2 linked regions of the Struthio camelus genome follow. The protein of the gene in region 2 binds, or shares a complex with, the protein of the main gene of each other region. Links are inferred from orthologs where the notes say so. Each region holds a gene or a part of one and is shown on either strand. Other genes may lie near its edges.

Region 1 (12,026 bases), on a different chromosome or scaffold from region 2:
CATAGACCCCCCCCAGCACCCCATGGGGGGGTTCCCCAGCCCCACGGACTCCCCCCGAACCCTAGACCCCCAGCCCCCCCCCAGCCCCCCACGTGGGGGCTCCCCCAGCTCCATGGGCCCCCCCCAGACCCCCATGCTGGGGCCCCCCCAGCCCCCCATAGGGGGGTTCCCCAGCCCCACAGACCCCCCCAGCCCCACAAACCCCCCCAGACCCCCATGCTGGGGCTCCCCCAGCTCCACGGACCCCCCAGCCCCCCATAGGGGGCTCCCACAGCCCCCCCAGCCCCACGGACCCCCCCCAGACCCCCATGCTGGGGCTCCCCCAGCCCCCCATAGGGGGTTCCCCAGCCCCACGGACCCCCCCAGACCCCCATGCTGGGGCTCCCCCAGCCCCCCATAGGGGGCTCCCCCAGCCCCCCCAGCCCCACGGACCCCCCCAGACCCCCCCACTCACCCTCGGCCGGAGCCTCCAGCCGCTCGGGGTCGACGTTGGGGGCGAAGATGTCGAGGGGGGCGGCGGCGGCGGGGGGGGCGTCGCCGGGGGCGGCGGGGGGGGCGTCGCCGGGGGCCGGGGGGGTCCCCGGGGCCCCCCCCAGGGCGCGCAGCCGCCGGGCCAGCCGCTCCCGCGTCTCCTGGTAGACGCCCAGGAGCCCGCGGGCCACCAGCCCGTCGGCCACCTCCACCAGCCGCTCCAGCCGCCCGCCGTCCCCGTCCCCGTCGTCCCCGGGGGGCTCCGCCGCCGGCCCCCCCCGGCCCGGCCGCCGCCGCCGCCGCCGGCCCCCCAGGCGCCGCAGGGCCCCGGCCACCGTCTCGCCCGGGCGCAGCAGCTCCAGCGCGCCCTGCAGCAGCTCCGGCTGCGGCGGCGGCGGCGGCGGCTCCTCGTCCTCGTCGTCACCCGCCGGCCGGGGACGCGCCGGGCGCTCGGCGATCTTCACCTGCCGGCGGCGGCGGGTGAGGGTGGCCGCGCGCCTCAGCCGGGCGGTCGCGAACGGTTGAGGTGCTCCAGCCCGTCCCCCGGTGTCCCCATGTCCTCCACTATGTCCCCCACATCCCATTGAGGTGCTCCAGCCTGTCCCCATGTCCTCCACCATGTCCCCCACGTCCCGTTGAGGTGCTCCAGCCCGTCCCTGGTGTCCCCCACCACGTCCCCCATGTCCCGTTGAGGTGCTCCAGCCCGTCCCCCGGTGTCCCCCACATCCCATTGAGGTGCTCCAGCCTGTCCCCATGTCCTCCACCATGTCCCCCACGTCCCGTTGAGGTGCTCCAGCCCGTCCCTGGTGTCCCCCACCACGTCCCCCATGTCCCGTTGAGGTGCTCCAGCCCGTCCCCCGGTGTCCCCCACATCCCATTGAGGTGCTCCAGCCTGTCCCCATGTCCTCCACTATGTCCCCCATGTCCCGTTGAGGTGCTCCAGCCCATCCCCCGGTGTCCCCCACCATGTCCCCCACGTCCCATTGAGGTGCTCCAGCCCGTCCCCAGTGTCCTCCACCATGTCCCCCACATCCCGTTGAGGTGCTCCAGCCCGTCCCCGGTGTCCCCCACATCCCGTTGAGGTGCTCCAGCCCGTCCCCGGTGTCCCCCACCATGTCCCCCACGTCCCGTTGAGGTGCTCCAGCCCGTCCCCGATGTCCTCCACCACGTCCCCCACGTCCCGTTGAGGTGCTCCAGCCCGTCCCCGGTGTCCCCCACATCCCGTTGAGGTGCTCCAGCCTGTCCCCTGTCCCCATGTCCTCCACTATGTCCCCCACATCCCATTGAGGTGCTCCAGCCTGTCCCCATGTCCTCCACCACGTCCCCCACGTCCCGTTGAGGTGCTCCAGCCCGTCCCCGGTGTCCCCCACATCCCGTTGAGGTGCTCCAGCCTGTCCCCTGTCCCCATGTCCTCCACTATGTCCCCCACGTCCCGTTGAGGTGCTCCAGCCTGTCCCCGGTGTCCCCCACATCCCGTTGAGGTGCTCCAGCCCGTCCCCGGTGTCCCCCACCATGTCCCCCACGTCCCATTGAGGTGCTCCAGCCCGTCCCCTGTGTCCCCTACGTCCCGTTGAGGTGCTCCAGCCTGTCCTCATGTCCTCCACTATGTCCCCCACGTCCCGTTGAGGTGCTCCAGCCCGTCCCCGGTGTCCCCCACCACGTCCCCCACGTCCCATTGAGGTGCTCCAGCCCGTCCCCGGTGTCCTCCACCATGTCCCCCACGTCCCATTGAGGTGCTCCAGCCTGTCCTTGGTGTCCCCCAAATCCCGTTGAGGTGCTCCAGCCTGTCCCCATGTCCTCCACTATGTCCCTCATGTCCCGTTGAGGTGCTCCAGCCCGTCCCCGGTGTCCCCTACGTCCCCTTGAGGTGCTCCAGCCCGTCCCCATGTCCTCCACTATGTCCCCCATGTCCCGTTGAGGTGCTCCAGCCCATCCCCCGGTGTCCCCCACCATGTCCCCCACATCCCGTTGAGGTGCTCCAGCCCGTCCCCGGTGTCCTCCACCATGTCCCCCACGTCCCGTTGAGGTGCTCCAGCCCGTCCCCGGTGTCCTCCACCACGTCCCCCACGTCCCGTTGAGGTGCTCCAGCCCGTCCCCGGTGTCCCCCACATCCCATTGAGGTGCTCCAGCCTGTCCCCATGTCCTCCACCATGTCCCCCACGTCCCGTTGAGGTGCTCCAGCCCGTCCCCCGGTGTCCCCCACCATGTCCCCCACGTCCCATTGAGGTGCTCCAGCCCGTCCCCAGTGTCCTCCACCATGTCCCCCACATCCCGTTGAGGTGCTCCAGCCCGTCCCCCGGTGTCCCCCACCATGTCCCCCACGTCCCATTGAGGTGTTCCAGCCCGTCCCCGGTGTCCTCCACCATGTCCCCCACGTCCCATTGAGGTGCTCCAGCCTGTCGTTGGTGTCCCCCACGTCCCGTTGAGGTGCTCCAGCCTGTCCCCATGTCCTCCACCATGTCCCCCACGTCCCGTTGAGGTGCTCCAGCCCGTCCCCGGTGTCCCCCACCATGTCCCCCATGTCCCATTGAGGTGCTCCAGCCTGTCCTTGGTGTCCCCCACGTCCCGTTGGGGTGCTCCAGCCTGTCCCCATGTCCTCCACCACGTCCCCCACGTCCCGTTGAGGTGCTCCAGCCTGTCCCCATGTCCTCCACCACGTCCCCCATGTCCCATTGAGGTGCTCCAGCCTGTCCTTGGTGTCCCCCACGTCCCGTTGAGGTGCTCCAGCCCGTCCCCGGTGTCCCCCACCATGTCCCCCACGTCCCATTAATGTGCTCCAGCCCGTCCCCTGTGTCCCCTACGTCCCATTGAGGTGCTCCAGCCTGTCCCCATGTCCTCCACTATGTCCCCCACGTCCCATTGAGATGCTCCAAGCTATCCCTGGCATCCTCCACCATGTCCCCCACGTCCCATTGAGGTGCTCCAGCCTGTCCTTGGTGTTCCCCCATGTCCCTGCATCCCACTGTGTCCCCATGTCCCATTGAGGTTCTCCAGCCTGTCCCTGGTGTCCCCCATGTCCCTGCACCCTGCTGTGTCCCCATGTCCCATCGAGGTTCTCCAGCCCGTCCCTGGTGTCCCCCAGGTCCCCGTGTCCCCCCTCACCCAGTCGATGTTGTCCAGCCAGCTGTCCCGGAGCAGCTTCTCGCGCCGCGGGAAGTAGTTGCCCTCGGAGTCGAAGTGCCCCTCGGCCATCTCCTCCTGCAGGTTGAAGGGGGTGACGGGCACCCCGCCCTCGGCCTCCAGCGTCGCCGCCTCCTGCCCTGAGACGGGGGTCAGCGCCCCACGGCGACCCCCGGCCACCCCCCGCCGCCCCACGGCGACCCCCGGCGCCCCGCTCACCCTCCACGTCGTGGGGCGCCAGCACGTCGTACTTGCTGCTGCCTTCGGCCTCGTCCTCCTCGTCGCTGTCCAGCGAGTGCTTCCCCGGGAACCGGCTCCCGGGGCCCCCCACGGCCCCCGCCTCCTGCGTGGGTCAGCCCCACCGTGACCCCCGGCCCCCCACGGCCCCCGCCTCCTGCGTGGGTCAGCCCCACCGTGACCCCCGGCCCCCCACAGCCCCCGCCTCCTGCGTGGGTCAGCCCCACCGTGACCCCCGCCATGACCCACGGCCCCCGCCCCCCGTGTGGGTCAGCCCCACCGTGACCCACGGCGACCCACGCCCCCCCCACGGCAGCCCCCCAGCCCCTGGGGCCCCCACAACCCCCAGCTCCAGCCCCCCGGCACCCTCCAGCTGCCCCACAGCTCACCCAGGGGTCCTGGGGCCTGCACAGTCCCCAGGTTCGGCTGCCCCCCAGCGCCCCACAGCTGCCCCTCGGTGCCCCCCAGCCGCCCCCACTAGCCCCCTGGTGCCCCCCAGCAGCCCCTGGCCCCCCCCGGTGCCCCCCAGCCCCTCACCCTCTTGCGGGGGGGCCCCGGCTCCTCCTCGTCCTCGGGGTCCTCGAACGTCACCTTGCGCTTGGCCATGCTGGGGGGGGGGGGGCACGCAGCTCCGTTAACGGCCCCTCGTTAGCGACGCCCCCGTGGCCCCTCGTTAGCCCCACGAACAGCCTCCGCCACCAGCCCCCAGTGACCCCCCTACCAGCCCCCAGTCACCCCCAGTAACCCCCCACTACCAGCCCCCAGTGACCCCCAGTAACCCCCCACTACCAGCCCCCAGTCACCCCCAGTGACCCCCCCTACCAGCCCCCAGTGACCCCCAGTAACCACCCCACTACCAGCCCCCAGTGACCCCCATTACCAGCCCCCAGTAACCCCCACTAACAGCTCCCAGTGACTCCCAGTGACCCCCCAGTAGCAGCCCCCGTTAACTGCCCCCTGGCCCTCATTAGCTCCCCATTCCCCCCCAGTAGCCCCCGTTTGCCCCATTAAGGCCCGTTAATCCCCAGCAGCTCATTAACTGCCCCCAATAACCCCCGTTAACAGCCCCCTTGACCCCCCCCCCATTAAGGCCCCCACCAGCCCGCTCTTAACCCCATCGTCCCCCCCCATTAACCCCCCGTTAACACACCTCCTATTTGCATATGCAAATGAGCCGCGCTCGCCACGCCCATACTAAAGCCCCTCCCCCCCGCCCCCAGGCCACGGCGACTGGCGGCGCTCGCCACCCGCCGCCGCCCACGGGGACCCCTCGAAGCTCCCCGACTCGGCCGTGGGGTCCCGGCTCCCCCCGGGCTCTGGGCCGCCCCCTAAACTGCCCCAAACCCCCCCAAAACCGCCCCCCAGGGGGCGGCTCCCAGGGGCGCCGCGGGGTGCCTCATTTGAATATGTAAATGAACCCCCCCCACCCCCCCACCCCCGGTAAGGCGCGCGCGGGCCGCTCACCCCGCGGCCCCGCCGGTGGCTGCGCTACCGCGACGGAAGCACTTCCGGGGCAGGGCGGGCGGCAGGGCGGAAGTGGCGTCACGGCCCGGGCAGGACTGCGGCTTCAGCGCCGGCGGGCAGTGTGGGCAGCTCTTAAAGGGGCCGCGACCCCATTTCCTCCCCCACCCACCCTGGCCCTGCCCCCCCAGCCCCACGTGACCCCCATTTCCCCCGGGATCCCCCAAAACTCCCTTCCCCCCCCAAACCCCCCTCAACACCCCGAGCCACCCCCAGCCCTCCATTTCCTCCTGAAACCACCCCAAACCGCCTGGGAGACCCCCAAACCCACCCTTCCCCCCCCCCAAATCCCCCGTTTCCCTCAGCCCCCCCCGCTCCTGCCCCCCCGAACCGCCTGGGACCCCCCAAAACACCCCTTTCCCCCCCAAATCTCCCGTTTCCCTCAGCCCCCCCCACTCCTGCCCCCCCGAACCGCCTGGGACCCCCCAAAACGCCCCTTCCCCCCCCAAATCCCTCGTTTCCCTCAGCCCCCCCCGCTCCTGCCCCCCCGAACCGCCTGGGACCCCCCAAAACGCCCCTTCCCCCCCCAAATCCCTCGTTTCCCTCAGCCCCCCCCGCTCCTGCCCCCCCGAACCGCCTGGGACCCCCCAAAACGCCCCTTCCCCCCCCAAATCCCCCGTTTCCCTCAGCCCCCCCCGCTCCTGCCCCCCCGAACCGCCTGGGACCCCCCAAAACGCCCCTTCCCCCCCCAAATCCCCCGTTTCCCTCAGCCCCCCCCGCTCCTGCCCCCCCGAACCGCCTGGGACCCCCCAAAACGCCCCTTTCCCCCCCAAATCCCCCGTTTCCCTCAGCCCCCCCCGCTCCTGCCCCCCCGAACCGCCTGGGACCCCCCAAAACGCCCCTTTCCCCCCCAAATCTCCCGTTTCCCTCAGCCCTCCCCGCTCCTGCCCCCCCGAACCGCCTGGGACCCCCCAAAACACCCCTTTCCCCCCCAAATCTCCCGTTTCCCTCAGCCCCCCCCACTCCTGCCCCCCCGAACCGCCTGGGACCCCCCAAAACGCCCCTTCCCCCCCCAAATCCCCCGTTTCCCTCAGCCCCCCCCGCTCCTGCCCCCCCGAACCGCCTGGGACCCCCCAAAACGCCCCTTTCCCCCCCAAATCCCCCGTTTCCCTCAGCCCCCCCCGCTCCTGCCCCCCCGAACCGCCTGGGACCCCCCAAAACGCCCCTTTCCCCCCAAATCTCCCGTTTCCCTCAGCCCTCCCCGCTCCTGCCCCCCCGAACCGCCTGGGACCCCCCAAAACACCCCTTTCCCCCCCAAATCTCCCGTTTCCCTCAGCCCCCCCCACTCCTGCCCCCCCGAACCGCCTGGGACCCCCCAAAACGCCCCTTCCCCCCCCAAATCCCCCGTTTCCCTCAGCCCCCCCCGCTCCTGCCCCCCCAAACCGCCCCCGCAGCCCCCAAGGACGACTCGGGGCCGGGCCGCTCGTTTGGGGGCTCCTCGTTAACCCCGTCTCGCTGTTTTTTCCTTCAAACGAAGCCACAAAGCCGCAGCCCCCCCGGAACGGGGGGCGCTAACGACCCGCCGCTAACGAGGGGCGTCCGGGGGGGGGGGGGTCCAGTGTCGTCCCGTTAAATAAGCGCTGGGGGGGGGGAGGAGGGGGCCCAGGCGTCCGGGCAGCCCCGGGGGGGGAGGGGGGCACCGGGCCCGGAGTGTCAATCATAGGAGCTGTCAATCAATCACAGGAGCTGTCTATCACAGGAGCCATCAATCAATCACAGGAGCGGTCAATCCCAGGAGCCATCGATCAATCCCAGGAGCCATCGATCAATCCCAGGAGCTGTCAATCAATCGCAGGAGCTGTCAATCAATCGCAGGAGCGGTCAATCCCAGGAGCCATCGATCAATCCCAGGAGCCATCGATCAATCCCAGGAGCTGTCAATCAATCGCAGGAGCCGTCAACCGGAGGCAGGCCGGCGAGTTGATGGATGGGGAGCTGTCAATCAAGGGGAGCTGTCAATCAAAGGTGGGGTGGCCTGTCAATCAAAGGGAGCCATCAATCCAATGAGGGTGTCAATCAAAGGCTGGGCAGGGCGTCACTCCGAAGCCGGCGGTCACATGCATGAACGGCAGCTGCCAATCAAAGGCAGCTGTCAATCAATGCAATCCACTAATCAAAGGTGGCAGCCAACCACACGCAACTGTCAATCAAAGGCAGCTGTCAATCAAAGGTAACTGCCACCCACAGCGGCTGTCAATCAATGGCAGCTGTCAATCAAATGGAGCCAGCAGTGAAAAGCAGCTGTCAATCAGCGGGAATCATTAATCAAAGGCAGCTGCCAATGAAGGGAGCCGCCAATCAAAGGCAGTTGTCAGTCAACCAGAGCTGCCGATCAAAGCAAGCTGTCAATCAAAGGCAGCTGCCGATCAAACCGAGCCGTCCATCCCGGGGGCGTCTGGAGGGAGGGATGGACGGAGGGATGGACGGACGGAGGGACGGAGGGATGGACAGATGGAGGGACGGCTGGAGCGATGGAGGGAGGGATGGACGGACGGAGGGAGGAATGGATGGAGGGATGGAGGGAGGGACGGAGGGATGGAGGGATGGAGGGGCAGAGTGATGGATGGACGGAGGGATGGACGGAGGGATGGACGGACGGATGGATGGAGGGATGGAGGGAGGGACGGAGGGAGGAATGGATGGAGGGATGGAGGGAGGGATGGACGGAGGGACGGACGGAGGAATGGATGGAGGGATGGAGGGAGGGACGGAGGGATGGACGGACGGATGGATGGAGGGACGGACGAAGGGATGGAGGGAGGGATGGACGGATGGAGGGACGGACGGAGGCAACTCCCACCTGGCTCAGAAGTAGGCGTCCTGCCGCCCGGGGGGGTCCCGGTCCCCGGCCGCCCCTGGTGCCGCCGCTGCCGCCGCCGCCGCCTTCCGCGCCGGCCGCTTCGATGGCGCCTTCTCGGGGGCCGCTGCCGCCCCCTTGCCCTGCAGCCGCTGCCGGCACTTCTCCAGCAGCCCCCTGGCCGCCGGCCGCTGCCGGGACCCCTGCGCCGCCCGCTGCCGCTCCTGGGGCCCCTCCGGCCCGTGCAACCGCTCCTTGCACGTCTCCGCCTCGTGCAACCGCTCCTGGCGCTCTTCTGTCTTGTGCAAGCGCTCGTTGCGCTCCCCTGCTTTGGGCAGCTGCTCCTGGGGCTCCTGCGCTGCCTGCAATTGTTCATCGCACTCTTCTCCTTCGCGCAACCGCTCCTGGCACGTCTGCTTGTCGTGCAACTGCTCCTTGCACGTCTCCGCCTCGTGCAGCCGCTCCTGGCGCTCTTCTGTCTTGTGCAATTGCTCCTGGCGCTCCTCCACTTTGTGCAATTGTTCATTGCACTCTTCTCCTTCGTGCAACCGCTCCTGGCACATCTCCACCTCGTGCAACTGCTCCTTGCACGTCTCCACCTTGTGCAACTGCTCCTTGCACGTCTCCACCTCGTGCAACCGCTCCTTGCACGTCTCCGCCTCGTGCAACCGCTCCTTGCACGTCTCCACCTTGTACAACTGCTCCTTGCACGTCTCCGCCTCGTGCAACTGCTCCTTGCACGTCTCCACCTCGTGCAGCCACTCCTTGCACGTCTGCCCTTCGTGCAACTGCTCCTTGCACGTCTCCGCCTCGTGCAACTGCTCCTTGCACGTCTCCGCCTCATGCAACCACTCCTTGCACGTCTCCACCTTGTACAACTGCTCCTTGCACGTCTGCCCTTCGTGCAACCACTCCTTGCACGTCTCCACCTTGTACAACTGCTCCTTGCACGTCTGCCCTTCGTGCAACCGCTCCTTGCACGCCTCCGCCTCGTGCAGCCGCTCCTTGCACGTCTCCACCTCGTGCAACTGCTCCTTGCACGTCTCCACCTCGTGCAACTGCTCCTTGCACGTCTCCGCCTCGTGCAACCGCTCCTTGCACGCCTCCGCCTCGTGCAACTGCTCCTTGCACGTCTGCCCTTCGTGCAACCGCTCCTTGCACGTCTCCACCTCGTGCAACCGCTCCTTGCACGTCTGCCCTTCGTGCAACCCCTCCTTGCGCGCCTCCAGCCGGTGCCTCTGCTCCGGGCGCCCCTCCGTGCCGGGCGCCGGCTCCCGGCGGGGGGGGGCGGCGGGGGGGCCCCCCCGGCGCTGCCGCTCCTCCAGGATGGCGCGGGCCCCGTGCAGGCGCCGGGGCGGCGGGCGCTGCAGCTCGCCCCGCGTCTCCCGCCAGCGCCGCAGCTGCGCCCCGCTCTCCCGCTCGATCAGCGCCTCCGTCACCGGCAGCGACGTCGCCTGCGGCCCGCCGGCACCTCGGCGTCCCCGCGCCGCCCCGCGCCGCCCCACCGCCCCACGCCTGCCGCCCCACGGCTCCCCACGGCTCCCCACGGCTCCCCACGGCTCCCCGCGCCGCCCCGCGCTGCCCCACGGCTCCCCACGGCCCCACGCCTGCCGCCCCATGGCTCCCCACGGCTCCCCGCGCCGCCCCACGGCTCCCCGCGCCGCCCCACGCCGCCCCACGGCTCCCCACGGCTCCCTGCGCCGCCCCGCGCCGCCCCACGCCGCCCCACGGCTCCCCACGGCTCCCCACCGCCCCGCGCCGCCCCACAGCTGCTGCCCCACACTGCCCCACGCCGCCCCACGGCCCCACGCCTGCCGCCCCGCGCCACCCCACGGCTCCCCGCGCTGCCCCACAGCTCCACGCCGCCCCACGCCTGCCGCCCCACACCGCCCCATGGCCCCACGCCGCCCCACAGCACCACGGCTGCGGCCCCACACCCCCACGCCACCCCACGGTTCCCCACGCCTGCGGCCCCACGGCTCCCCACGGCCCCATGCCGCCCCACACCGCCCCACGGCTGTGGCCCCACGCCGCCCCACGGCTCCACGCTGCCCCACGGCCCCACGCCTGCGGCCCCACACCCCCCCACGGCCCCCCACGCCGCCCCACGGCTCCACGCTGCCCCACGGCCCCACGCCGCCCCACGCCTGCTGCCCCACGGCTCCCCACGCCTGCTGCCCCACGGCTCCCCACGCCTGTGGCCCCCCGCGCCCCCGCGCCCCCCCGCGCCCCCCCCGCGCCCACCTCGTGCACCAGGGCGTCCTCGGGCAGGCCGGCGGCCAGCAGCCCCCGCAGCCGCTCCATGGTCTCGTACATCCCCTGGCAGCCGCGGAGCTGCTGGGGGGAGCCCAGCGCCCGGCGCAGCAGCACCAGCCCCACGCGGAACATGACCTTCACGCCTGCGCACGCCACGGACACGCACACGCGTCACCGCGCACGCCTGCATGCACACGCCTGCGCACGCCTGCACACGTCACCACGCACGCCTGCACACGCGTCACCACGCACGCCTGCGCACGCCTGCACACGCGTCACCGCGCACGCCTGCATGCACACACCTGCACACGCCTGCACATGCCTGTGCACCCGTCACCACGCACGCCTGCATGCACACGCCTGCACACGCCTGCACACACCTGCACACGCCTGCACACACATCACCGCGCACGCCTGCACACGCCTGCACACGCGTCACCACGCATGCCTGCACACACCTGCACATGCCACGGACACGCGTCACTGCGCACGCCTGCATGCACATGCCTGCACACGCCTGCACACGCCTGTGCACCCGTCACCGCGCACACCTGCATGCACACGCCTGCACACGCCTGCACATGCATCACCACGCATGCGGCACCGCACACGCCTGCACACGCCTGCACACACTTGCACACGCATCACCCCCCGCACATGGCACCCACCCGGGATGCACACGCCACGGACATGCCTGCACATGCGTCACCGCCCTGCACGTATGATCTTCAGCTGTGCACACGCCACGCACAGCCGTCACGGCCCCACGCACACGGCACGCACACATCATGCACACGCCTCACTGCCCCGCGCACGGCACACGGACGGAGTGCACGCGCGTCACCCGTGCACCACGCGCCCGCGCCGGGGCCGGGCAGCACCGTGCACGGGCGCCCGCCCCCGCGTGTCCCCCCCGCGCGCGCCCCCGCACCCTCGCAGAAGAACATGTCCCAGACGCGCAGGACGGCGGCCCAGGGCAGGCTGCGGGCGAAGATGCACATGAACCACTCGGTCAGGTAGAGGACGGGCTCCACGCGCCAGCGCCGCAGGTGCCGGTGGGCCGCGGGGGCCGCCCGCCGCAGCAGCGCCCCGAACACCTCCCCGTCCAGCTGCACCGCCTCCTGCACCGGGGGGGGGACGGGGGGGGGGTCAGTGCGCCCCATGGCGCCCCACGGCCGTGCACGACGCCCCACGGCGCCCCACGGCCATGCACGACGCCCCACGGCAGCGCCCGCCGCAGCAGCGCCCCGAACACCTCCCCGTCCAGCTGCACCGCCTCCTGCACCCGGGGGGGGGACGGGGGGGGGTCAGTGCGCCCCACGGCGCCCCACGGCCATGCACGGTGCCCCACGGCCGTGCACGGTGCCCCACGGTGCCCCACGGCCGTGCACGGTGCCCCACGGCCATGCACGACGCCCCACGGCAGCGCCCGCCGCAGCAGCGCCCCGAACACCTCCCCGTCCAGCTGCACCGCCTCCTGCACCGGGGGGGGGGGACGGGGGGGGTCAGTGCGCCCCACGGCGCCCCACGGCCGTGCACGGCGCCCCACGGCGCCCCATGGCCGTGCACGGTGCCCCACGGCCGTGCACGACGCCCCACGGCAGCGCCCGCCGCAGCAGCGCCC
Region 2 (12,383 bases):
AATTTTACCCAGTGAGTTTAAAAAACAAACAAACAAACAAAGATCTACAGCAGCAACTTGGAATTACAGGTAATCACTGTTTTTGAGAAAGGAGATTGCAATATACAATTTACACCAAACACTGCAACATAACTTACTACATTTCATGCTGGGATTAAGTTTCCATTGCTGAGTTATATGGGTATATCTGTTTTTATTTTTAACTGAATTTGGCTTAGCTATAAGACTTGTCTATTTGCTGAGCTGTTAGCATAATTTCAGTGAGTGGGAGTAACTGGTCTTACTAGTACTGAATTATAAATATTTGCCACACCTATCTCAGCATAAGCAGTGTATTTTCTACATTCTGGACTACCTGTAAATTCCCTCTAGATAAGAACGTGATTCTGGGAAATCTTTAGCTTTACATAAGGCTAACAGGAATGGAAAAGCTTTTAACATACTATCAACACCCTAAGCTCAAAAAGGTTTCACTGAAACTTCTCTGCATACAAAATATCATACCATTCAAGCTGACCAAAGTCAATATTGCCAGTCTTTTATGGCACACACAAATATATATACACACATATACATACATATAGAATGAATGGCATTTGGAAAAAACACATAAAAAGACCTTGCCTTGCACTTGCTCAGCCTCTCCCATAGCTGTTTATGTAGCCTAAGACCTTAGACATTTTTAGAAAAGGTATGCTGGTGCAATTCAATTGCGTTACATACACTATTCCAGAACTCTAGAACAGATCCATGCCATGTCAATGTGATAGTCTACTTTCAGCATTATTTGCCAGGAAATCATACTAAAAAAAAAAAGACAGAGCCTCCATTCCATATTGCAGCTATTTATATTTTCATTAGTCTTTCCTCTCATTGTCTCACTTTGCTGGCCTTTCTATAGAGACTAACTTAAATTTATGCTGCATTAGACTCTTCTGGGCATAACTTTAGCAGATAAAACTCAGGACAAGCAAGCAGTATTTCTGTGTAAAGAACGTGGGGGAAAAAAATAAAAGAAAATATGAGCATTCTTAGAACACATAGACTCACTGTCTCCTATGCAGATCAATAGCAGCTTACTTCCTTTTGAAAATTTGCTCTGATGTCCTGTATGCCCTCTCCTCCTACTCCCCCCCCCACTTTTTTTTTTTTTTTTTTTTTTTTTTTTTTTTTTTTAAGTCACCCACAGTGACAGCCACAAACATACCTGTAAGGTGCTGGTTAAAAAGTTGTCCTGGGAGACAATGTCCACAAAGAAATCAGCTGGGATTTCATTGAGCTGGTGATACAGCACAGAAATGAGATTGGTGTAAAGGTCTTGATACTTCCCTATGGCATCTTCAGATCGACACAGGATATTTAAGAGTCTTTTCCAGTGCTCGAATGCATCATACACATTCCCAATCAGGAAGCAGATGAAAGCAAATTGCAACTCAGCTGCACACATTTAGCAAAGGAAAGGAAAACAAAGTACACATGAGACTAGAAACACATCCAAGGTACATGTCCTCTTGAAAGCTCTGAAAATGACTGTATAAACTCTGGGATTGCCTTTTACACATGAACAGTACCCTATCCTCCCAGTGACTCTGATAATAGCAATCAATACTCCAAGCACTGACTATTTCCTAATGCTCTGCTATTCAGCTGGAGAACAAGCATAGCACGATCAGGCAGGACCCCTTAAAACTATAATGGTCAACTTTGGAGAGTGACTTTACTGGCAATCAGAGCATATAGCTACCTCAGGACTTGCCTGCATTCTCAAAATCTTCTATGATGTCCAAATGAGAAAATAAAGCTGTTATTCTGAAAGCTCCTTTTATGCCTGAGTTTCCAAAATCAGATTGCCCTTGAACAGAGGGGTGTGGGAACAAAGAACGAGGTGAGCAGTACATAATGGTTGTTTTTCCTTCACTGAATTAAGAGTCAGGGTTCAATCTCACTTGATGCTCAGCATCAGCTGTTTTGCCAGAATGATGGCCTCACCATTCCCCAAGGCACTAGGGAACCTTACACACCCTTACGGTAATTAGTCTTTGCATCTCCTAGAATACTTTTGATAAAGAATAAATTGTATAAAGTTAATAAAGAAAAAAGGGGAAAATAAAGGCTTATTCCAAACCTCAGTAACCTTGAGGCTCTAGATCAGCTAGTTTCCCAAGTCCTCACTCCATCCTGCCACACGGAAAATGCATTCAAGGATCTTCACAGAGCTGTTACTAATTTGTATCACAAGCTGTTAAATGAGGCTGGCAAGTAATTAAGACCCTGTAACTGAGAGATGCAGTTCACAGTGTGCCCATGAACACTGCATGTTTCGCCCTCCTGCAGTAGAGCTCACAAATCCCAAATGCTACCACAGAGGGTCGCCAGCAGCCCACAGCAGAGACTTCCCACCTTCCTCCGCCTCTAACCAGAGTAGAAGGAAAGGCCCATCCTGCTGATTAGTTACTGTGTTAGGAACTGACTGCTGGGAAATGTACTATCAGAGTACTAAAACTCACTTAACTGACTGGCATCTGTACACTTCATTGACAGCTTATATTTAGAATTATCCATTCTGTTCTAGCTATAGTTAGTACTTTCACTGCTATCTGCACAGGCTGCTCCCTCCCCACAAAGATCAACTCTTCCATGACAGTTGTATTCACCAACAGTCAAAGTAGCATTTAGTAAAAGAATCATTTTTGGTTACTCAGTTTACTGAAAAGCCATCAGTGAGGATGAGCAGAGTAGGACCAAATTATAAGGTGGGCGAGCAGAAGGGTTTGAAGGAAATAGACTGTACTGAATAGAACAAAGAGGGTAAAACGGACAGCCAGAAAGAGGGTAAAACGGACAGCCAGAGACATTTAAGAAGGAGAGCTGCCTCTCTAGTGCACAGCTCATTCTTCACCTGCTGTAAATTACTTTGCAAACCTTTGAGACCTTCTTTGAAAACATCAAGCCTAAAAAATAAAAATCCACAAGGCACAGAAGCATCATTATCCCTAAACTATACAAAGTGAATTGGAGGCCTAAAAGGCAAAACAACTCACCCCAAAAGCCAAAAGTTGAGTTGCTGGCAAAAAGGGAACAAGAATCTAAAGATTAAGATGTCCCATCCCATTCAGTGGTCTCAGGACTCCCTAAACTCTGTCCTTAGAGGATCACTTGATAGATAAATCATCAGGATGGCACCACAGAAAAAAATGTACTTGCATTAGACGCAACGTGATGTGCCTTCCATGCACAAGGGTGAATTCACAAACACATCTCAGTTCATAAACTGGGATTTATGCTTTTGAATTAATCTGAGGCAATTTGGGTTCCAAACATGTTACTGCAGCAGCCAGGAACAAAAGTGGCTAGTGAGGCAGGCTAGTCACTCTAGATATTGAGCAAAAGAGTGTCCAGATTCTTGCATCAGGGCAACTGGAATAGACCCTATAGCTACTCAGACTTTGTAGCTTGTATAAACTGTTTTGTATAGTCACAATTATAAGAGCACACTTATGCCCTGAGCCTTTAAGGTCAACAGAACTGCAGGTTTCACCTGAGGACTCTTGCTTTACAGCCAAAAACTTAATTCTTTCAAAGTGAATAAGGACTCTACAACTGGGATACTATGTACTCACCAAGCAAATCCTGAGGTTGGCTGGAGTACTGCTGATCAATCACTTTTTCTAGAGCATAGCTAAGGTCCATGCTATGCCTGGTTATCTCCTCAGGAGTAGCACCATCGGGGTACATCTGCTTTGGCAGCTCTGTGAATCTGATCTCAGTGCCAGCTTTCAGTTTCATCTTGGGCAGCCGTGCCATACCTTCAGCATAGCTCTTGCATTCTGTGTCATAAGGGGGCAAGTTCTGTTCAGCACGGTCTTTGGTGTGCTTCCCAGCCAGCACAGGGAGAACTTCTGAAAAGGCACAGATCTGCCCACTCTCTGGTTGCAGCTTCTTCATCATCGACTCATTGATGAAGTTGGTGAGGGAAATCCATTTTTTCAGGGTCTCATACGGATAGGGCCCAAGAAACTTGTCCATCTCCTGCAGATTTCCTCTCATGGCTTCAGTCTCCTCCTGGACTGCTGGCGTAAGATCCACTTCCTCGTTGGTGGGGTTCCAGCGCAGCACCCGCAAGTCTCGCTGCTGCAGGCTTAGGAAGAAACCTGTGCGCGGCCCTGTTTCCCGGCTACTAGCTCCCCTGACAGAGCTGTAGTGGAGGAAATGGATGCCTGGAGGGATCATCTTGACTCCGCGGAAGCGGGGGCCGACGTCCCAGGTGTTGTAGTCAATGCCGAACTCGGTGCCCTCGGGCACGTTCAGGATGACGACCGTGGCGCCTTCAAAGAAGAGCCTCTTGGCCAACTCGGGGTCCAGCTGCACTGCCGCCATGGAGCCCGGCGGGAGCACAGCAGGGGACAAGCGCAGACACACGGGTCCCCAGGCCACCTGGGAACCGCTCGGGCAGGCTTGGCCTAGTCTCACCCGGCCCGCAGGTCGCGACCGCCGCAACCAGGCCCAAGCGCGCTACCGGCCCGCAGCGCTCCGGCCGCGCGACCTCCCGAAGCCCCGCTGCCGCCGCGCCTCACCTCCCCCGTCCCCGGAGCGCCTGCACCCGCCGCCGCCCCGCCCCGCCCACCGCGCCTTCCCCGAAGAGCGTCCGGGCCGCCCCGCCGCCGCGGCGCTCCCGTTCCGGGCGCGGCGGCTGCTTCCCGCCCGGCGGCAGCCAGAGCGAGTCCCACCGCCGCCCAGCCAGGCCCCCGGGGTAGCCGCTGCGGCGCGCGGGGCCCCGTTTGGGCAGCGGAGGGACGCCCTAGGAGCCCGTCCCTGCCCGCTGCCCCACAGCCCCCCACCGCGGGAAGTCGCTCCCCTTGGTTCCTACTACCGGGCTCCCCACAGCTGGCAGCCTCTCTCCTCGGCCCCACAGACCCCCACTTCTGGCAGTCCCTCCCCTCGGTCCCATAACACCCCACAGCTGGCAGTCCCTCCCTTGGCCCCCCAACACCCCATGGCTGGCAGTCCCTCCCCTCAGCCCCACGGGCCCCACAGCTGGCAATGCTTCCCCTCGGCTCCACAGACCCCCACAGCTGTCAGTCCCTCTCCTCTAGCCCCAGCCTAATCCTGCCTGCAGGGGCAGGGGCAGGTCAAGCCCCAGGTGGTGGGGATGCAGCTTGGCAGCATCTTTGAAAAATCTTAGCTTTTATCCCTGCAAAATCTGAGCTTCTGTTAGACAAAGAGATTGTTTTTCACCCCACACCTGCAGAAATGTCACGTGGCAGCACAGTAACAAAAGGACATCTCTCACTTGGGTGTCACAGGCACCCAGCAGCAGGAGCCATCACCTCCCTCCTACCTGGTCTGCAAGGCCCAGAATCCTACCAGGATCCAAAGACAAAAGTCAGGGACAAATGCAGCCCTAGTCTCTGTGTATTTTGAACACCTTCATAATCTACCTACTGGCAGTCCTGAGTTTGCTGCCTCAGGCAAACAGATGATGGTTAGTAGATACAGTGTGAAAAATACACAGCTTTCTTCCATCCTTCTCCCCAGCAGTGTGCCATACCCATAACTGGCATCTGCTTCATTTTCTAGGACGACACAGGGAAGAGTCCAATATTTTAACAGACAGAGACCCTGGTCCCAAGGCCCCTACCTTAATCTGTCCATTCTCTTTGCGGGAAAGAGTCCACTTCATGCCACAAGCTGGTTCAGCATCAAACACATTTATTTCACTTTTATTGAATACAAGAACAGTGAGCACACACGCATACACCACCAAGCACTGAAAAGGAATATGACTGAAGGCAGGAGGGAGAAGAAGAACAAGGGAAGAGAAAAGGAGAGTTAGTGAAGGAACAACAGAGCATTGCAGTTGGTTGGTAAGGTGCTTTTCAAATAAAAATAAATATTATTATTGTTATTGTCATTATTACTCATGCAGTTGCAGGCCAGGTTTGGAATGAATTTGTAGGATCAGGTAAAAACAGGCACTCAGTTCTCCCACCCCTTTCAACACAAAGGCCCTTGGAAGAAAACAAATGGTGATTAGCTCTCTGAAATGGCAGTAATGTGAAGGGCAGGCTGGGAGAGAGCCAGGCCCATAAGGGATGTTAGTCACTACTAAACAGCAGAATCCCACACTTTCCCAGATGAACAAGAAACAAACTTTTTTCTTTTTTTTTTATTTTTAAATGTTGTCACCCATTAAACAAGCTGTGGAAGCAAGGAAACTGGATCCACTTACTGGGTTTTTTTTCTTAACTCTAAATGTAAATAGTTTGAGTCTAATTTCACATCAATTCTATAATTGTCTAAGGCTACTAATGTTAACAGTTACCTTAGATTTTATAACCACATGTGTGATTTCAAAACCAGGTATCCAGTTTCAAAGTAGCCTGTAGTTCAGTTGTAACAGTACCAAATCCACAGAGAGCCTCCTTTGGATTTGAAATACAAAGCGTGCTGAAAAACAACCAACGTGATGTGTGGACCATTGCTAATGGGCAAGATGGGCTGAATGCCCTGTACAGGCACTGAGAACAGGTCCTCTCTCAATTGGTATCTCTTTCAGAAAGTGTGACTGCTTTTTGCAGCTGTTTTGGGTGTATTTAAAAATAAAAGAGAAAAAACGCAATTCTCTCTACAATTGCCTTAACTCTTTCTGGTTTGGGGTCTGGTCTCTAAAAGCAGCAAGTTACAAGCAACTGAAAGCACTCAGGCAGAATCTGGGGGGAGACTACATGACTGAACTCATTAGAAACCTGAAATGATCTTCATTGGCATTAGCCAGCACGTCTATTCACTTCTGAAGAAGCCTGTCTTTAATGCTTGTAGAAGAATCTTATATGCCATAAGGAGAACAGACTTCATGGGGACATAATAGCAAGTAACTGGCAGACCAAGACTGCCAGAGACCAGGCTCTCTCCTAAGGAAACTCAGTGAGCGAAGTATACCCCCATAATGGCTTAAATTCTTCTTGTTTAGTATTATCCTCAGATCCATTGCTGGAACTGATAAAATGCACCTATTCTGGGCACAGTCTGCGTGAGGCGTGGAGGACTAAAGGCAAAATGGTGCAGAATTGTGGGCCCTTCTGCTTCTGCAGGAGGTAGGGATAATTCCAAAAAGGAAACCCATTTATTTCTTTTCCTTCCTGATTTTGGTTCCAAGTCCACCCTAACTGCCTGGTTCACAGTGTACAAGGCCCTGGCCTTGGCCCATAATCCCCTTCTAAAGGCAGCCACAGAGGAAGCCTGTTGCTAAAGGCCGAGCTGTGATGAGTTGTGGGAAAGGCAGCTGCACTGACATCTCCTCAACATGGGCCATCTTATGTGGAGGGCCTGGACTCTGCCATCCAGGCTTGTACACTCAGGGCACTCGTGCAGTGATGGAGACAATGTGGTCTCTCCACTGCCTGTCCCTCAGTAGCACCTGGAGGCAAGGATGGAGGAAGGACTGGCATCACTCCTGCCATCACCATCATGTAGCACACAGTGCCCTGGGCAGCCCTCACCATTGCACCTGGCCTGCGGGGGAAGCAGGGAAAAAATGACTCCTCTTTGCCTCTAACCCTTCCTACTACAAAGCTTCTGTAACTTCATTACTGGGGTCCAGAAACAAACCAAAACAACCCCAACAATCATCATGGCTCAGTGGGCTGGAGAGGAGCTAAGACCATGCTGCCAGCTTGATCCCAGCTGAGACTCCGGTGTCTTTGGATTGGGGCCAGGTGACATTCCTGCCTAGCACCTGGGCCACAGGAACGGCAGCCTGACCCTCCTTCCTTGCCCCTCCAACTTGCCGTTGACCAACCAATTCCACACACCACATATACCACGGCACCAAAAACAGCCCTCCTGCGGCCACACGGATCAGCCAGTGGGATGTGTCTCATCTTTCTCCCTCTGCCCTTCCCCTCCAAAACAGAAGAGGCTCAAACCATCCCTATTCTCTTCTTGCGGGGCTAAGAGTCCCAAGCATGATCTAAGAGTCTCAAAATACATCAACCACAGTCAATCAAATAGTTAATAATTTAAAAATGTTGTCATCATATTTACCAGCACTGTTGAATTATTTTAATATTGTTCCCCCCTCCCCCCTTGTTATATATAATAATATACATAACTTAAATGCACATCCATATGAAACCCCTACAGGCTGCAATTTTATAAATGAGAAACCATATACATATAATTTGCTTTGTTTGAAATGAAATCCATTCCTAAATACTTTCAGAGAACAAGAGCTTGGACAAATGCACAGAGAAGAAGATAAGGAACAGAAGGGGAAGAATTAACAGAACCTCAAAAATGCAAAAGAACGAGCACGGAATGAGGAAAAGAGTGTAACCACACGTTCCAAATCGGAAAATAACTCTAAAGTAATCAACTCAATGGTTTCTCTCTTCTTTCCAGAGGTGGGGAATGGTTTTGCTTCTGCTTGTGGTTTTTGTTTCATTTTGCTTATTTCTTGCTTTGTTGCAAAGCAGTTTTCCTTTCCATTCAGTGTGCAACAAATGAACTCAAGATTGTGTATCCTTTTATGTAACATGCAAGATGGTGGCTTATTTTACTGTTAACAATATTATTGTTATTATAATGATTTTTTAATTTTATTTTATCACCAATCCAGTAAATTCTTCAATTTATCTGCAAAGATGGTCGGTTTTGTTTGTTGTTGATGTTGCTGTTTGTAATTCATTTCCAGCATATAGCAGCAGTGCAAGGATACATTTTGTTTCTCCTTTTCTATATATATATATATATATATGTGTGTGTGTGTGTGTGTGTGTGTGTGTGTGTGTGTGTGTGTGTGTTGATGTGTATATATATATATAATATATTTGCTATTCCTTTTTTAAAATTTTTGTCTCTTGCCATGAACATTGCAGCCAGGATGTCTATGTCTTGCTGGCAAATCCAGCATGAAGGATCCTTCTTCACTATTCTCCAGGTTTGAATACAGATGCCAACTTCTGTGAACATGGTGGTCAAGATTCCTGTACAAGGCAGATGGAAAGGACTGGTCATGGAGTGCTTCCTTTGTTGCTTCTTGGGCTCTAAAAGGGCTCCTGTTTGTATGAGGGCACTGGACAATAAAACTGCAAACACTTTCGGGCTACTAATCAACTTTGCCCTTGATTACCACGACCTCTGGTAATTATAAAAACCTCTTGAATTCGTTGAGCTGGTGCTGGTGTATGGGAAAGGAATCAGTGAATCACTGCTGAAGTCTCCCTTATGTTTAGCCATTAAATCAAAACTGGTTGGCTTCCTAAAAGATGCAGAAATAACTGGGCTTGGTTGTTTGTAACTGTTATGAAGGAGATGAGATTAGACAGATGCAACAGTCTCCTCTGACCTTCCAATCTACAACAGAGGTGATCATCTTTTCCAAGCTTAAAAGTTGCATGTCAAAATCTTCATAGGATCAAGAAACACATAATCACATTTCCAAGAGGCATCTGGAGTCTGGCTAGGGACATAGCTCCTTCTACATTTTTCAGTAGTGAAGCTGGCTTCAGAAGCTCCCCTTCTCCTTTCTGTCATGCTTCTCTGCCCCTCAGTTGCTCTGATAAAAAAGTCTGTTGGGCTGTGACATTGCCCTACATAAAACCAGTGCTATGAGAGAGCTGCACCAATCCAGCTGAGGGGAGTAGCACGGAGCAGCATGAAGTAAGAATAAGTGGTTAAGAGTAGGGGCAGGCCTCCTCAAGCCAGCTTTGCCCTGGAGAAAAATGGGTGTGAAAATGTGCCTGCTTTGGGGCATCTGCTGGGAGATGCAAACCTTGTGTGCTGGTACGCACAGCTGCATGTTTATAAAGGGACAGCCTGGGGAACCTGAATGGCCATTAGAAAAATCATTTTGGCAAATACTTGTCTAATATGTGGAATTGGCCTTGCAGTACCAGTAACCAAGTTTCTCAGGCTATCCACAACACAGACATCACCTCTGTCATTCCCTACCCTGGAGGAATGAGAAGGTCCTTCCTCCTTTACATGCAAATGATTCTGACTCCTCTACTGAGCAGGGCAACAAGGTGACAACTAGAGCACTGCTTTTGATGGCATGTCCACCAGCTTTCTAACCACAACTAGGTGGCCACACCTGGGGGGTCGCCATCATAGTGGGCTGGACTGGAATTGCTGGTGCAAGAGATGCTACTCCTAGTGCCCTGGAGCAGCCCTTCCTATCAGCACCTACAGCTGGTAGAGTTAGTCCCAAAAATTAATTGTGGCCAATTGCAGAAATGTGCCTCAGCGTGTTAAAGCAGAGAGGCGAATAAAGCCCATGCACTGAGAAAATAAATTCTTTCTTTTTACTCCACAGAGGGTTCCCTGGAAGGAAATCTGAACTTATTTGGGAGGACAATAAAGCCAGTACAGAAACACAGGGAGTAGAAATTGGGTCATACAGTATAGCATGGGAAGAGGCAGAAACAGTGCTTACAGAACTGCTTTGCCCATTCCCAGGTACCTGTCCTTCAGGGCCCACCAGCAGACACATCCCTCAAGCTACTGTAGTGGGATGCTATGCTGAAGCCTGCTGTAGCTGGGACATGAGGGATGCTCTGCCTGTGCAGTCACCTAACTGTCATATTGAGGACTGTGCTGGTGTCCAAGAACTTCTGCAAAGAACTCCACTGAGCTGTTTCACAACATAGGGCATAAGGGATACACAGAGGTACTTGTACAGCTACATACATCTCTTGTACAGCATGTATAAATCATACCTGGTAATTTCTCTACCTACCTGAGGTTTCTTGTCCCTCTCCTCTGGAGAAGGTTCTGTTTCTCTGTATACCACAGCTTTGGTTACCAGCATGTCGGGATGCTGTAGTTTTGCCTCTTTGATTGCTAAAGCCAGTGCCTAGAAAGCAGAATGATGAAAGTGTTTATCTTCACTTCCCTGAAATCTGATATGAACATTGCCAGAAAGAATCAGTATATAGAAAATATCTGCAGCTGAATAGGATTCCAGAAGAATGTGAATGCATAGGTTCAGGTTTGATGGCCTGGAAGAAAAGTCTGGAGCCTACTACTGACTGGGGGGTTGTAAAAAAGCATTGGGATGCCTTGTGTATTGCTCTTCGATTACTCGTTTGTAGGCAGAGATGCACAGTGTTCCAGGCTCACTAATGAATCCCAAGCAAAGGAACATCATCAGTTCTCTCTGCCAAAAAACTCTATAAAAAATCTAAAATATTATTCTAATTAAATTTATTATTCTGAATAATTCTAAAAAGTCTATAAATTATTTTAGATCCTGCGCAAGATAGCTTTTTAAATACTTTGGACCTTTAACAAAATGGTAAAGCAAAAAATCCCAAAAGATGAGGTCACAAGAAAATGAGCCTGCAACCCCAGAGATTTGTGTCAATCTGTTATTTCATCATAAAAAGTTGTCACTTTTTGTTCCTTCTCTTAAGGAGGTAAATGCACAACTATTTGGTCTGAGTCAACCTGTAGTGAGGCTCTGCAGGAAAGAAAGGGAGAATCCTGGGCCACTCCAGAGCATTTCAACAGAGAAATGGCAACTGGAAACTTATGTAAAAAAGAAAAAGGCGATCCCATAGTTGGTCTCTATGCTGGAACGTAATCCTCACTGCTGACTCATTCATTCCTTCAGTGGGTGGGAGTTGAGCTGGAAGTTCTTGTTCAGTATAAATCAAATGATCCAGGTCTTTCACAGGCCAAATGAGTGATGATTCCTGTCACTTCCTCCAAGATGGAGACAGGGTTTGCTGTCTGGCAAAACCCTGTCTGAGAACTGGACTGGCACCCTCTTTCCCAGCCTGGAAAAGCCAGTAGGCTTGGGGATGTGAGAGACTGGTTTTCAGAGTGAAGGAGCAAAGAACTGGGAACACTCAGTGATGCAATCAGGGAGCAGCTACAATTCAACAAAGCCACAGCATTCTGCTCCTACCTGATCTTGGTCCACATCTTCATCTCCTGTGATAATGATGCGCTTCTCTATCCTGGTCTCTGAAAACCCTCCTTTCACAGTCTGCAATACAAAAAGGAACAGAACTCATTTCCAGCCTGTAGTCCTCCTTACTGGCAGCAGCATCCTGCCACTTACCATGGCAAAGGCAGGGGATCACACCAGCCCTACAGGCTGCAGGCTTCTGGGGCAAACAACTAATGCAGAGCTTTAAAACCCTATATGGTTCATGTCCTAAATATGCTGCAGTAAACATGGGATGCCTGCCCTCTCTCAGAGCCTTGCCTACAGTGACGTTAGCCACAGGAATGCACATTGGATGCACACTGAGAAGCGAACCATAAGGCTGAGGATGGCTGTAGCACAGGCTTTAGGACTGGGGATAACAGCTTGTGGCCGTGTGGTCACAAGATGGATAATAAAAAGGTTTCGAATCCAAGAGTCAATGTGCTGT

What was found.
Region 1: AAR2 (region 2) and CD2BP2 share a complex: the UniProt entries of both Homo sapiens proteins name them as parts of the U5 snRNP complex. The link is inferred for Struthio camelus from reciprocal best matches to the Homo sapiens genes AAR2 and CD2BP2.

The regions. Positions count from the first base shown.
Region 1 is NC_090973.1:154,268-166,293, forward strand, and holds the start of CD2BP2 (CD2 antigen cytoplasmic tail-binding protein 2), read right to left. Parts: upstream 5,459-12,026; 5' UTR 5,293-5,458; intron 4,436-5,292; 5' UTR 4,435-4,435; coding exon 4,366-4,434; intron 3,935-4,365; coding exon 3,811-3,934; intron 3,732-3,810; coding exon 3,574-3,731; intron 936-3,573; coding exon 455-935; intron 1-454. Other genes in the region: TBC1 domain family member 10B-like, read right to left, coding at 8,155-9,600, 10,391-10,545, 11,334-11,523. UniProt on the Homo sapiens protein: Involved in pre-mRNA splicing as component of the U5 snRNP complex that is involved in spliceosome assembly.
Region 2 is NC_090959.1:256,455-268,837, reverse strand, and holds the start of AAR2 (protein AAR2 homolog), read right to left. Parts: upstream 4,614-12,383; 5' UTR 4,378-4,613; coding exon 3,621-4,377; intron 1,438-3,620; coding exon 1,208-1,437; intron 1-1,207. Other genes in the region: EPB41L1 (band 4.1-like protein 1), read right to left, coding at 8,976-8,984, 10,739-10,855, 11,912-11,992. UniProt on the Homo sapiens protein: Component of the U5 snRNP complex that is required for spliceosome assembly and for pre-mRNA splicing.